Linked DNA regions of Styela clava. The protein of the gene in region 1 interacts with the protein of each later gene in a pairwise test. Links are inferred from orthologs where the notes say so. Each region holds a gene or a part of one and is shown on either strand. Other genes may lie near its edges.

Evidence for each region.
Region 2: the proteins of protein kinase C iota type-like (region 1) and partitioning defective 6 homolog beta-like interact in a two-hybrid assay, tested with the Drosophila melanogaster proteins (2 studies listed by BioGRID). The link is inferred for Styela clava from reciprocal best matches to the Drosophila melanogaster genes aPKC and par-6.

What each region holds. Positions count from the first base shown.
Region 1 is NC_135257.1:16,668,393-16,676,614, reverse strand, and holds the start of protein kinase C iota type-like, read left to right. Parts: upstream 1-4,968; 5' UTR 4,969-5,046; coding exon 5,047-5,724; intron 5,725-6,347; coding exon 6,348-6,494; intron 6,495-7,412; coding exon 7,413-7,590; intron 7,591-7,678; coding exon 7,679-7,875; intron 7,876-8,222. UniProt on the Drosophila melanogaster protein: Serine/threonine protein kinase which is required for apico-basal cell polarity in the germ line as well as in epithelial and neural precursor cells, for epithelial planar cell polarity and for cell proliferation.
Region 2 is NC_135250.1:4,770,582-4,778,589, forward strand, and holds the start of partitioning defective 6 homolog beta-like, read left to right. Parts: upstream 1-4,397; 5' UTR 4,398-4,473; coding exon 4,474-5,568; 3' UTR 5,569-8,008.

The DNA.
Region 1 (8,222 bases):
CCTGGAACAACGATTGAAGTAGCAAATTGCTGACAAGCCGAAATAATCAAAAACATTATGAAAAGACAATAATCTCAATTGAAAACAGTTGAACTATGGTAACGGACTCTGGAAACGTTAAAATCATGAATATGGACTGTATTGAACATCGATCGAAATGAACTTTTTTAGAAAATGATATATGTTCGAGGTGAAAAACCTAATCAAAAAACGAACTGTTGAAAACAATGAACTCTATGGACTGTTTTACGGTAATTCACGCGCTCTATTCCGAACAATAGAGAAATTGTCGCGCATACCTAATGCCTAATGGATATACAGATCAGGAACATGTTAATCTACAATTTGTTTCGTGATTTGCAGGTTTTTCTCCTCATTGAGACAGACATTTTTCATTCTTCCACTAATACTAAGGTAAAGTACTTCTTTTTCTTATATATACATGGCGTTTCATTCGGCTTTCAATTTTTATAAATTAATTAATGGTAAAACTTTGAATATTCTAATTTCAAATACCTTTAAAGAGATTTATATTATTGAATATTTGTGGTTAGCATTCTTTTTCGATTAAATAGATTTCGTTATTATTAAAATGCTCTCTAAAAGTAGATTCGAGCGAGTCATACTTTTAATTATTTACAAAGCCGTCATATAGAACGGTTAAATAATAAGCTCGTTAAACAAAAATTGTATCCAAAAGCGTTATTTTTTCAAAAAAGCCCTGAGATGGCATAAACTTAAAAATGCGTTTTTTTCTTCCCGACATGGGACAAGCATATATTGACCAACTAGGTCTACAAAATCGTAACAATGCGATAAAGCGAGTATAAGCATTTTAACTTAGCGAAATACATTGAATTGAAAATATGTTTTAACCGTCCAAACCAAAATTTTCAAAATAAAAATACGCCATCCTTCTGTAATTCTACTTTACAACCTTTACCCTTTCTATAAACTTTTCTTTACTTCAATGTGTTGTCTCATTGTAGATCATATACATGTAAATATTTTTTTGACCTATATATATCATTAATTTTAGCATTGTGTATTGTATTTTTCTATATATTTTCAATTTATTAGAGGTGCCAAATCTTTAAACTTCCAGTTAGTAAGATGGGGAGATAATATAGCAACTAACCCCCAAATGTACCCCATTTCATGTTAAAAATATGAAAACAAAGTTAATTTTTCCCAAAATTCGAACAAAGACTTTCGTAGGAATCAAATTACACCAGGTTTAAGAACATAACAGGTTCCATCCAGTCATTATCAAATTAAAATCTATATTCTCAAGACCTTTGGCACTGATTGAAATAATTATATCTAAGTTCCCATCCGTACGATGTACCTAATTACCCTTGTTGAGATAATAGGAATTTCTGTTTATAACGTGAATCACGAGCTCACGTTTACAGCATTTAATTGGATTTATGATCAACGTATAAATACGACTCCGATATCTTTCGATAGGGAGAAGAGAAGACGATGTAAACCATTCTAAGCTAGTCTGGATAAATGTTATAAGATTTATATTCTGTGTGTTGTGGAAATTTACGAATAAAAACATATAGAGATTTTTAACGCATCTTCATTCACGTGGGCGTTGAAGCTGAAGGGTGAACGGGTGACTTTCAAGTTCTGAGACAATCTACGAAATAGCAATATATGATAACATCACATTCATCTACTTAACAACCCATTTATGCTATAACCCATCCAAAAAAAGAAATTCTATATTTCGCGCCAATATTAATGCCTTTCATAATATATATATACATGTTCGCCAGTTACTTTTCTGACAAATAAATATTCACTCAAAAGAGGAGATCAAGTCAAATAAATAATATATTATGTTATACACTCCAGATTATTAGATTTTCTTGTAACCTTGATATATGCCGTTATCCTTCATTCCATGCATGTAGTTTATTTTTTTAATATATTTGGGCAATAAACACCTTGTTGAAAATTTGCGATACGCATATTTTAATAATATGACATGTAGCCTACCTTACTAATAGTTGCATGTTTCTGTAGTGTAATTTGTTTGTAGTTCTGCCAGTTTGTTAAAATAAGTTCTGTGCAAGTAGCAATACTTACATCAGGATTTTTTATAATAAAATGTTTATCTCTTTGTTTTATATTTTTGGTCTTATTGGGTGTTGATTTATCGAGTGAAGTTGGATAACTTTAATCCTAACTCCGTATCTGCTGACCATATCGCCCGAGCCGAGTTATCTGAGAAACATCTGCGGAAAATTAGTTTTTCGGGAAAATGTTCATTCGTTTCGCCGCTGCGAAAGTTTGGTCCGAATTTTTGAGCATCGTTTTCTTTTAATCAAATGTTTAACGATCGCAGGTTTAAATCTCTTGGTTAGGTTAGGATCATACAACGATAAATCTCTGGACACAAAATGGCGGATGTGTCGTCGCGCAATCGCTCATAACGTTACCAATGCATGTTCTCACTTGATTTATAGTCAGGGATTCCATCGATCTGGAACCCAAAATAAGGACGACTGGAAAAATTTCTGCATTGTGAGCAGAAATAGCTGGCTTTCCTATGGGCTCCAGGTTAATGTTACAAATACAGACGTCACAGTATGCGAAGCACTCACTCTTCAAGCTTCGTTTAACTTTGAATTCTTTCCCGTATTCACGAAAAACGTTCTTACGTTTGCTCATTTTTAAATTTAGGCTAAAATATCCACCACCACGACAAAACCTAAAGATCGCCACACTAACAATGCTTCATGCCTATCTGTGCCTTGCTGCTTTGTGTTCCAAATATGATTATTTGCTTTTATGATTCCGCAATAAAGCTTTGGCGATAAGACAAACAACACAAAGCTTCCTTTATAAAGTCCAAATAAGACAAAATAAGGACACGCGAGCCAAAAATAGGGACGCAAGCTAAAAATAAGCCAAAAATAAGGACAAACCTTAGAAATAAGGATTAAGGACGGTATGGAATCCATGTTTATAGTCAATTTGGCAACGACCAAAGTGAATATCAATTAGGCAGCGATTTTGAATATCAAACGTCAAGTTTAATCTTATATCATTATCCAAATACCGTAGCCCACCATCACTAATATTTGAAAGGAATTCTGTACGACATACTAACATTTAACACAGAGGAAAACTGTTCTACTTTCCTATATATCTCAAAATACTATCATATTATACGTACAGGCCATGGTAGGATAGGATAGGATTTACATATTTATCCCGGGGGAGAGGAAATCCGCTAAGACGACTAAACCATATGGCGAACGACGGCCTCTCGTCAGGTTACCATTCCAAGTCAGGTATGGAATTAGTTATTTGTTTTCAGTTTCATGGACTTGGTGGCGGAGGAAGCCGTCTGAGCGAAAGTCGTGAGTGAGCGTCGTAAAAAGGTCACAAATCTATGAATTAGCACTTGTGTGCATTTGCGCACACGGCCATTTTCACTCTCAAGTATTGTTGTTTTGAGGGATAGATAGACATCCTGATTCTATAACATTGCAATTTAGATCTTATATCAGCATATGTCCCTGGGTCCAAACGGCGACCGTATGGGTGCGAATGAGCGCGGGTGAAAATGTCTATGTCTGAAAAACATGAAGGTTACGAAGTGACATTACAAATGTTCCAAGTGCAAATAGACAGATGCTAATGTGATGTAATGCGCGGCGGTGTGGCTCAACGGGCTAAGCGTTAGGAATACGCTCGCCACCGCACCTCTAATTACTCTGCGTGGGTTCGCAGGTTCGAATTCCATGCAAGGATGGTTATGTGCGAGAGGATTGCTGGACTCCTCGCCGTCGTTGGGTGGTTCACGTAACCGCTGGTCGGTTACGGCTTCCTCCACCACCAAGTACATGCTTCCGAAAACAAGCAATATAACTAATCCCATACCCGACTTTGAATGGTAACCGGACGAGAGGCCGTGGTTCGCCATATGGATAAGCCGTCTTATCGGCTTACCTCTCCCCCGGGATAAATATGTAAATCCTATCCTATCTATATTTAATTGTTATACTTGTGCTTCTGTTTCGGTGAGAAGGCTACCAATCGCGGTGTCGTACGGGCAGAATGACACCATAAATTATTTTATTAATTTTGACCCAGTGACTATCGGTAGCTTTTAATATAAGCATTAACATGTTTTGATTCTAGAATGTTCAATTTAAGTAGTTTCAAAGTCTAAGTCAGCAAAACGAAAACATATATGGGTTGGTTATGAACAATTGCTAATAGAGGTATCGGTAGAGGGAGCTAGGGGAATGCGAAATATATGTTTATTTCATTGAGATTCCTATCTCAGAGAGGGGGTCGGCAAGATGTAGGTTATAGGCCACACCCACTGGAACTTGGAAGTGCTATAGTGCTATATCAATATATTATGACAAATCCTCCGTGTCTGGCTTTTTGTGTCTCCAGTTCTCACGATAAATTTGGATCAGGTCGGACAAAATTAACTCTTCCTGGACCGGTACGTTAACGTACACAGGCAGACAGGTCAGTAGGCTTACCCAAAGCGTATATATAATATACACATACGTCCCGCTTTAGGCCGTTTTTTAGCGTCTTGTCCCGACAAATTAGCCAAAAGTTGGCGTTCAGCCATCCAGCATAATACAAGAACATGTTCTGGTTACTGTTGTTTCTGTGTAGCGCAGAGCTAGCCTACTTACTGCTGTACTGAGGGTGAATGCGTTTGTTCCGTTGTTTCCCCCTAACATTGTTAGAAAACGTACGGTATCGCATGTAAAACCAATACTAATTAGTCTAAATTCGAATTATTTGTACTGGCATCGGTAACGTCTATTCCTTGCTATTTTTCGAACTGAACCCGATATTTGAACAGAGAATAGGCTATGCGCATGAATTCTCGATGACAATATGGTCAATGAAGACAGCCGGGATAGCTTTAAATGTACCGGCAGACCGGTAGGCTATCCTATTAGAGTTCATTATTCATATTTTATGTTTTAGTATGAATTTAAAATCCGAAAATTGTAATTAGCATTGTATATCAATTACATTCAAAACTTGACCATGTCTGTTGATACCTCACATTTAATGGTACGTTCAAAATTAGCGTATCAAAATCAAATTTTGAACCTGAACCTCGATCCACAAATACGAATGGATGAATTATGGGTGCAAATCCGAGTTAATTGTGGATTCTCAGATGCTCAACTTTTCACTTTGAAATGGTTAGACGAGGAAGGTGATCTGTGTACAGTAACATCTCAACTGGAGTTGGATGAAGCATTAAGACTGTATGAGCTAAATGAGGATGATACTCTGTTTCTTCATATATTTCAAGGAATACCTCCTGAGCCCGGGGTTCAATGTGTGGGCGAACATAAAATTTATCGTCGTGGGGCAAGAAGATGGTACAAACTAAAGCGTAGGTTGAAGAAATTAAAAGGACGTCGTCCACGAATTCCGATTTCCAATCCTACTGATGATCCTGGTTCTGTGCATATTCAAGAGGGGGAGGCTCAAAGGGTTCATTACAATCCTGCCACTGGTACAGGTGGTGAGGCAGTGCATGCGACATCGAGGACAACGTCTGGCTTTGGTTTGAGAGATTTTGATATGTTGAGAGTTATTGGTCGAGGAAGTTATGCTAAAGTACTTCTTGTGAGTTTGAAGAAAAGTAAAAAACTTTATGCGATGAAAGTTATAAAGAAAGAGCTTGTCACTGATGAAGAAGATGTCGACTGGGTAAATGTTCAATATTTTATGTTCAAATTTTCATTAATGTGTTTATTGATATAACTAAGTAGGGTTCCAGGTTCAGCTCTTCTAACTGTTTCGAATATTCGACTAACCAGCGATGGAGCCATTACATTTTGTTGGAGCTAGAGCCAAGCTTACCTTAACAACACCAAACAACTAAAACTTCTAGCAGCTCCAGCTCCCAACCATCTAATTCTTGTTCCATACTTTTAATTTTCTTCTTTTTTTTATGTTTTTTGGTTATGATTTTTTTCAATATTTGTTTTCATAATTTTGAAACTTTTCAGTTAAAGTTGTATAATTGGAAGTTTAAAATTCGAAATTTCAAATTTTAATCTACCATACAAATTTTTGAGTCCCACTGCAGCGAAACTGCATTTGGGCTGATGTTCATGGTGAGGGTTCATGGTCACATCAAAAAAACGAGCTGTCCTGTATGTAACCCAGCTCTGAGGTAAAAAAAGATCAGGCTTCGTTGCTGTAGCTGGAGCCATTTCAAACCAACTCATTGGCCCTGTTACTATAACATTCAGATGTTCAATTCTCATTTACCAGTGATTTTTATCAAGCCTATTTTTTGAAAAATTTCTTATTCTCTATTTTTTCAGGTACAAACTGAAAAACATGTTTTTGAAACTGCTTCAAACCACCCATTTCTTGTTGGATTGCATTCATGTTTTCAAACAGCTGATCGCCTATTTTTTGTTATCGAATATGTGAATGGAGGGGACCTTATGTTTCACATGCAAAGACAGGTCAGTTATTACTTATCGATTTTAATCGGTAAGTATGTTGATAGGTATTTGTCTGTCTGTTACATGCACGCGATATCTCATGAAAGCGAGATTGAATCTGCTCCAGATTTTGCATGTGCATTCATCATATGTCGTACCAGAATCCTATTGATTTTGGATGAATTATGTGGTATAATTAGCGAGTTTAATTAATTATTTAGTGATGAGACACAAGGTGTCACTATGGAGTAAGAGCGCTGTTTTGGGGGATCCCCTAACTTTCAAGCGATAAGTCTTCGGTCTCTGACTGATATTCTCGTTAACGTGTTTATTTAATATATCAAAAGTAGTACAATATTGTTAAGTTTGTTCAAAGTGGTGTTATTGTTTTCTTTTACTTCTATGCATCATGCAGTTGAATTTAGTTCTAAAAGACATTGATTTTTGATGGTGTTTCATGGTTTTTATCAGACTGTAGATGAAATCTGTTCTAAAGCCACACTAGATCTTTCTTTCTAACTGATAATAAATAAATACTCAATTTATTAATCTTGGATGTATCTTTGCAAGTTATTTAACATATCTTTGCTTCCTAATGATTGGTGTAACCTAGCATTATGTGCCATGGAATTGATAAGACTGGATAATTTATTTTGAATTCTGCCACTGCTCGAAATAAACACCCAGCTATACGCGATTCAAGAGTCCCGGTGCACACAAATGTATTTCTGTAAGGATTCGTCCGACTAAAATTAGACTTTCTCATACAAGCAGTTTACAACAATGACAAGAAAAGAACAATCATGCGGTTTCAAACACACAGGATGGCAATTTGAATAAGTTTCCAAAACTCGAAATAAGATTTAAACGAGCGACTCATTTATAAATGATAGCTGATAGGCTTCACTTGAATGTTTATAAAACATTTTTATATTTCAGAGAAAACTTCCAGAAGATCATGCTCGTTTCTATGCTGCAGAAATAGTGCTTGCATTACATTTCTTGCACGAAAAAGGCATTATTTATAGAGATCTAAAACTTGATAATGTTCTTCTTGATAGCGAAGGTCACATAAAACTGACAGATTATGGCATGTGTAAAGAAGGAATTTTGAAAGGTACATTTACGATAATTTCTCTCACTATTTATTCTTGCTTGTCTACAAATCATGTTTAACAGGATTTTTAAGTGTATACTTTTTATAGGTGACAAGACGTCTACCTTTTGTGGTACTCCAAATTACATTGCTCCCGAGATCCTTCGGGGAGAAGACTATTCATTCTCGGTTGATTGGTGGGCACTTGGAGTACTCATGTTTGAAATGATGGCAGGAAGAAGTCCATTTGATATTGTTGGTATGGCAGATAACCCTGATCAAAACACTGAAGATTATTTGTTCCAGGTCAGATTTTCTCATACTATAATATGCGAGTGAAAGTTATTACAATCCTAATGTATGTCTATGCTTCATTTCTGAGCTCTTTCGCCCGTATATAATATAATGCATCCCCAGAATCCAGATATTGCTTAGTAAAATGTTTACAATTACAGGCACTTTGTGGTATGTCAACTAAAATTTCTGTTAGCTACGGCTCCATCTATATTGGTAAGCCTGATTTCAGCTCCATTGAAATGCGCAGGCACGACTTCAGGCCAGCTCCGCCTCCTTAGCCCTGCATGAAAGGATAAAAAACTAAATTGAAAAAAACAGGCATACAATATTTCCACCGCAATTAATGAGGGACTACG
Region 2 (8,008 bases), on another chromosome or scaffold:
TATTTTTTTTTCTTGCAGAGAAAAAGGCTTAATGAAGAATAGCATCAAGTTCGAGCAGCCTGTGAATAAGAGATTTGTGAACACAAACATGAAATCACTTATATTATTCAGAGTAATTTGCGGTAATGAATTCAAAGGTTGAACATTTTTAACCGCAATAAACTTTTTATCGTGTAAATGTTACTTCATATAGTATTTGGTTGTGTTTGATTGAGAGGAGACTGGTGTGTTCTGTAGTTGTTGTTTTAAATACCACTTAAAGTAAACACGCATAAGTTTCATATAGATTTATCCATTTCACCCTCCTTTATTTACTTTCGGGTACGTGGAAAAACAAATTGAAAGCGACAATTGATTTTGGGAATTTGGTTCATATTGGATACAGATAGCTGAAGCAATTGAAAGTTATCTTCTCTTGTGTACACAGAAAAATATGGCGGTTGTCGAATATCCTTATTTCCTGTTACCGTGTTGTGTCCTTAGAAATTTTGCAACAGACCATATTCTCAGGTTTCCGCACAGACTTGCTAGAAGTAGAGGGTGTAAGCTATTACATGGAACTTCCTCGCTATAATGACCAACAGGTGTCTAGATTGACAGCCAAACGTGGCAATCACGACTTCACATAATAACACGATTCACCCGCCTATATGATAGGATAATAGGTTCTATGGTCCTTTGACTGGATATTTCCATTCCCACCGGCTAGCGATAATTGGGTACTCCTGAAGTATGCGCGCCAAGATGTCGCATAACCGTGTCGTGAGTTCAGGTTGTGCGCCATCTTGGTGCGTATACTTCAGGAGGTCCTGTGCAATAACTTTACATTTTTTACGAGTCGATTGTCCGTGATTAAGATAATGAGAGAACATGATCTTACTTTTTAGCGGAGGATTGGACAAAAGATGATTAAATATTATTTATTTAAATCATATGTACCAAATTTCTGCGAGGCCACCTTGTACGAATCCAGATATAAAAATTCCAAGCCTTTTTTCAAGTCTGTTATTTAACGTATCGTAAACTCATTCGCCCACGCCATCGCGGATATAAAACTCTGAATGCAGAAAGGTGTGTGGTGTGAAGCCTCACTCGACGTAACCAGTATGCTCCCCCAGATTTTCATTTTAGGGGGTTGGGGTAGGGATTCCAAATCTAGGGGGAGATCTAGGTAGATATTTTGATATTAGTGATAAAAAATGGCGCTCCAGTATGTGAACCAAGATGGCGGACATCGGAACATAGAATATGTACCAAGTTAGGGTTAGGCCATAATTTCATTCCAATTTTAGTTATATTACGAGTGCGGGGACCATCCAAGTGAGGAGGTAATGGTAGAGAAATAACTGGACGGCCTGGTATTTAATTCAAAAAAAATGTATCTAACAACTTGATATTCAAAGAAATTTATTCCACCTGCAATGGTATTCCAAACGGCAAATTGTCAGTGGTAATTCGTTATATATAGCGTTTCAACGTTTTTGGAATTTTGTGATTTAAATCTAGAATTACCCGAGTTGGCGATTTTCTTCGTTTTGAAAACGAATATTTATCTCCCTCCCGTGGAAGAATTTCTCACAAATTTCTGAACCGCAGAGACGCCCGTCCTACAGAGCTTCAATTTTCAGTATGTTCCAAAATACGAGAACTTTTATTAATAATATAGTAGATATAACGACTCAGTTGTACTCCCGGCATTTTCCCCATAAAATAAACTTTCCTCCCTTTATATATACGTGTTTCCCCGAAAATAAGATCTACCCCGAAAATAAAATCATGCATATAAGTCGATAGCAGTTAAATCTCTCCTTCACGTTTTAAATAATTCATAAAATATGGTTTGCAGCTATTCCGAATAAAAACTTGGTATTTATGGGTAAATGTATTTCGGTTTTCATATTTTGTATATTTGAAAATCTCGTAACTTTCTATGTTGTAATTTTGTTTTTGATAACTGAAAATATGAGACATCAACCGAAAATAAGCGCTGGTGTTACTTTTCGGAACAAAACTGAAATAAAACTGGGACACGATAGAATAAATATGAAAAGTGCCTATTTTTCTTCTTTTCAATACTAGTAGTTGTAGTTTTATCTCAACCGTCATCATAAATATTCGATATCGATATTGTCACCGTATGCAGGTATGGTATTTCGCATAGACAACCGTTACCAAAGTCTTTGTATGAATGCATCATACTTTGAACAGTCTTATCACATTATAATCATGAAAATAGGCTTTTCTTTCTTTTTCGTCATCACATTCGAGATGATATTCAATACACCACTCTTTAGTCACCGGAGCATGACACACCCACATTTTCACTAGATGGCGATGTGCGAAAAGGTGGGGTTTACTCAGTGGGCTGCATTTTTGGGGTAACAATACGTCTCGGGTCCCGCTTTTTTGGTGCGATTTTTTTAGTTTCATGTACCCTGTATAAGGATAGGGATAGGTCTATATACAGATATCAGGATATAGAGAAAACTGTTCGGAAATATCTCTCGAATTCTCTCTTTGCTCTTCGTTAGTTGAAGTTGTTAGTTGGGATCTAAAGACTGAAAGAAGAACACACCGTACCGGTAACTAGGGGTATGTATATGAAGAAGGACACACCGTAACTCCCAAATAACGTCAAACAAAAGTATGATGTGAAAATAATGCCCAAATTTTCATTTTATTCCAAATACCAGAACGGTATCAAAAGTCAGAAAGTCGGTCTCTAGCGGCTAACCCTATTTCTGAATTTGGCATTGGAACATACCGGTACCTGCTTCTGCTGTTCTGTGCTTAGTTCAGTATTTGAAAATTGAGTGGGTTTGATTTTAACGAAGCACGTCTGTCAAAAATTTCATTTTGTGCCAGACAGATTTTTTTTAGAAATCATAAAAATCTCATATCACATTTCTGTTTGACGTTATTCAAGCAGTTTTTCAGCAGCAAGTTTCAAGCAATCCCATTTTTTGATGTTATTTAACTGTTTAAGGAGTCATGTCGTTCATTTCGCCAGACCCGAAGTTAGATATTTCAACTTTCTGTCTGAGATTAAGATTTTGGGTCTCAGCTAGTTTCGTACCTAACGTACTTATAATGGGCGTAATATAACAAATTTTGCACGTGTCAATCCTAACCCATCAACTACACCATCCAAAAATTAATGAATTATACGAACAGTCATCTAAGAACGGCAGACGAGCATCCGAAATCGAACAGCTATTTCTCTCGTTTTCTTGTCGCGACCATGATCCCAATATGAGAGAGAATGATGATGTTAGTCAGCTTTTTATCAGCGGCGTTGATGCCATTTCGGGCGATTGTACGTCTATTCTGCAAGCTTTATGATAAGATTGTGACGTCGTGGTGACGTAATTTTAGACGACGTAGTCAGATGGGGGTTAGGATTGACATATCAAAAAATAGTTACGCTACGTCCACTAGAAAAACGATATAGGTACAAAACTACAAGAGACCCAAGATTTTTATACTGCTGTAGTGCTGTACTGATAGGCTGCTGATGTACGCTGGTTATAGTTTGAGACTGTAAACCATGATAATAATGACCTTTTGTGAATTTTGAAAAGAAAAATAACCAAACATGTTCGCTAAGTCTTTAGCCAGCAAAAAATATAAAAAATAATTTAGGATTTTACGCAATAACACGATAACATTCAATATTTATGTGCATATTCAATAACAACGTTAAAAGTTGTAAAAATACTGAATTAATTAATAAAAGGACGAAGTACTGAAGTAATGTTTTTCTAAAAAAAGTTGGTTTGGCGCGGAAGGCAATTCGTTTAGTTGAAATCAAACCTACCCAATATTCAACTGAGCAGTTATGACTCATGCCAAATAGGGTAGTCTATAGGGTTCCATTACATTTGAACCCACGTACATTTGAACCCATGACAATTGCACCTGTATGCTATTTCACCTATGAAATTTTTTTTGTTTCACGGATAGTTAAACCCATACTAACCCTAACCCATGGGTTTTAGCACCCGCATATAGATTGAACCCGTGGATATACGCATGGGTTCAAATGTACATGGGTTCAAATGTACGGTCACCGTCTATAGCGTTCTGGGCGAGACAGACTTTGAGAATGACTAAAAAAATTTGGCTGTATTTTTATATCATATTTTTGTTTCGCAATATTCAAGCAGTTGTCTAATCTGCTTCTAACTTAAATTTTATGATTAGTAGCTTTGATTCAGATATCAAATTATACTATTATTTCGTATGTTTATTAAGTTGTGGCCAAGTTTATACCCAATTGAGTTTCAGTCAACGGTTAAATCGTTATTCCCTGGGTTAGGATGACATCAAATTTTATTAAAGTGGACTCTTTTTTTTATCTTGTGTACAGTCTACTGGTTCTCACTTGGTAAATTTTATGTTTAATTGTGTTTCAGACATCTACCAACATGTTGTGACATTTTTGTGTACAAAGTTAAACTAATAATTAATGAAATGGATAAATCATCCTTAGGCTCTGCTGGGTCTTCTCCAGCTGGGAATTTAATTCAAGTAAAAAGCAAATTTCTAGCTGAATTTCGACGATTTCATCTTGATCCAGAACAAGACAAATTTCAAGATTTACATCAAAGAATCGAATCACTTCATCAAATTCATCACGTCGATTTTATTGTGACTTACACCGACCCACTTCATGGTGATTTGTTGCCAATAAATAACGATGAAAATTTTGCAAAAGCGAAAAAAACGTCAAATACTTTGCTAAGACTGTATATTCACAAACGAGAGACTTTTAACTTACAAAATGGTTTTGGCCAATCAACTGTTAGAAAAAAGAAAGGAAAAAAATTACCACCAATTATAAGTTATCCAGAAGATTTTCGTCCGGTTTCCGCAATCATCGATGTGGATATTCTACCAGAAACCTTACGTCGGGTGAGGCTTCATAAGCATGGTTCAGACAAGCCATTAGGGTTTTATATCCGCGACGGTGTGAGCTTACGTATGACGAATAACGGACTTGAAAAAGTGCCTGGAATTTTTATATCTAGATTAGTACAAGGTGGTCTGGCAGAAATGACTGGTTTATTAGCAGTCAATGATGAAGTCTTAGAAGTAAACAGCATCGAAGTGATGGGGAAAACGTTAGATCAGGTCACAGACATGATGGTGGCGAATAGTTCTAATTTGATTATCACCGTCAAGCCTGCAAGTATGAGAAATGCAGTCGCAGGGATAAAGCCGCCTTCTCGGGCTCGTTCTTACGACGATATTCCACGACATAGGCATGAAGAAGAATCCGACGATGATCAGGATGTTGTAAAAGATATCACTCCTGCATCGAAGCATGACCAAAAACCAAAAAGCAACAGTGCACGACATCAAAACGAAAAGATTTATTCAATAAATACGACCCAACAAGGCAAAGAGCACTCTTCTCCTCAATCTGTACCTAATAAAACTGAAGCTTCAAATTCTACGCAACCGTCTCCAAAAAAGTCGCCGAGAGTTGGGCACAAACATGGTAGAGACTCAGTAAAGGCTAAACGTAGAAGCCAAATTAACACTCAAAATGATCTGACATTGTAGGTATTTGCATCGCCGTATCATCCCATGTTATTTTGGGTAAATGTTTTGCCAAAACGGCTTTTTGCAATTTTTCCATTTTATTATGTTTATTATGATTATAATCCATAGGTAGCACGGATTCACTTACTTATACCAGTAATTTATTGGTTACATATATGTGTGGGAATAATTACAAAAAACCTAATTTTTGATCAATCATAAAAATTAATTGATTGGCTTTTTCAAAAATTCGAATTTCACTGAAAAATAGTTTTTCTCACGGTACATTCCCAGCAAATTATTAACTATAAGCCCAGTGTGCTCGCAATTAGGATGCAGATTGTATCATGCGTTGTGTGATTGAACATTTGAGGTTGACTTAAAAAATCATCAAGATGTATTATCAGCTTGAAAATAATTGCATAAACTGAGTATTCGCGATTATCCTCAACCAAATATTACAATTTGAAGTTGTCTTCACTCTTACTACAGCATTAGGATTAGGAGGAAGATGAGTAGTTGGTCCCACAGAAACCCAATAAATAGTAAATAATGGACAATACGAAATGATTTTGAAGAATTGATACAATCGTGTAGCGTCGTGTGTGGACTCTTTTAAATCTTTGTTGCTTCCCATTCCACAGTTGATAAATCCATAAGAGTGCGTTTTTTCTCTTTAAATTATTTGTAGTTTTTTTTTCAATTATCTTGACAAATATGGAATTCCACTTTATTATATTGTTTTGTAGGTGCTGAATTATCTATTCAAAGTGTTGTTATTCCTCTATAGACGTTTTGGCCAATATTTTATTCTACCAATTTTACTTAATTATCAAAATATATCACTCAATTTAAGCAAATAGGAGTTCCTCAAATCTCGGTTTATGAGCTCTATTTCAACCCCTGCTCATGCTAGATTTGCTGCTCAGATCTGGCGCTCCAGAAGTATGTGTACCAATATGGAGGTAACTAATTTTGTTCGCCTACTTTACATCAAGTTGTGTAAAGGGACTGAAACTTATGGTAAGGGGTATATTCACTTGGCTAACACAAACCGTCCCCGAACTCGTAATCGAACTAATAAAAGAAAAATCGGAATAAAATTATAGCCTAACCCCAACCTGGTACACATACTATGGGAGTATCCAGATCTGTTGTTGTCAAAATTGTACTTCAAAATTAAATATCAAATTTTTTGGTTATAATTACCTTTCATAATTTTGTTATGTTGTTTCATTCGGTTTTTCTTCTTTTATTCCATTTTAATCATGGAAATTATAATAATAGTTTGGCTAAAGATTAATTGATTAAAATTTAGATTAAGCGTTGAGACAAAAAATTTCATAATCAAATTTCAAGTACCGGTATATTTTGGAAAAAAAGCTTTCATGTCAAATTTGAAGTATATTTCTAAATATTGACTCCCTCAACATGAATCATCATTAATGCAAGATTATTGAGAGTGGTAAAATGTATAATTCCACATTAGCTAAAAATTATTTATCATTATTAGTGATTACAAAAAAAAGTAATTCAAACCTAATTAGCCGTTTGTTATCTACCTCAGTCATTAGCATTTTATTTTTCAAACAAATTGGAAAATTGCATTAAGTAAATAGGATTGCGTAGTGATTTAATAGTATTACATTATTATAATTCTGTGTGACCTTTATAAGCAAGTTTCACATGATAGTTGCACATGTGTGTTGTATAAGCATGTGATCAGGTCTCTTAATTGAGTTTTCTAAATGACATCCATCTTTTATAAAGTAATGGGTGCTCCAGATTCCAGAAGTATGTGTACCAATATGGGGGTAACTAATTTTGTTGGCCTACTTTACATCCAGGGACTGAAACCTATGGGCAGGGGGAATATTCGCTTGGCTAGCACAGACAGTCCCCAAACTCGTAATAGAACTAAAAGAAGGAAAATCTGAATAAAATCATGGCCTAGTCATAACTTGGTACACACTACGGGAGTACCAAATCATGTGCAGAGGTTGTATAAGAATTGTGGATTAGACAATAACAATTTTTACCAAATTTACGGACAGATCTGTCATGGTATGTCAAAATTTTGCTCAATTCATTATTGTGCTCGCGATTTCTTGGACATTTCTCAAAGTTTGTGTAAACCAACTATAGATATATGTTGGTGGCCAATGCCAAACTGATTACAGTTCTTTGAATATACAAATTGATATATATTCCAGGCAAATCATGTGTATATCTAAATTTTGACATAAGTTATATCAAATCGAAAATGGCAAATTTGTCAATAAAAGCAATCAGATAAATAAATTTTTGAAAAATTAAGGATTTCAAATCTTATTTTTATCCAAAGTTTTCTGTCTACATAAAGATTCTTGAAACTAATATAATTTTTATTTGTTCAAAAATATTCAAAACAAAGACTTATTAGCTTCAATAATCATGATTTTTGAGTGACTATAGATGTGAA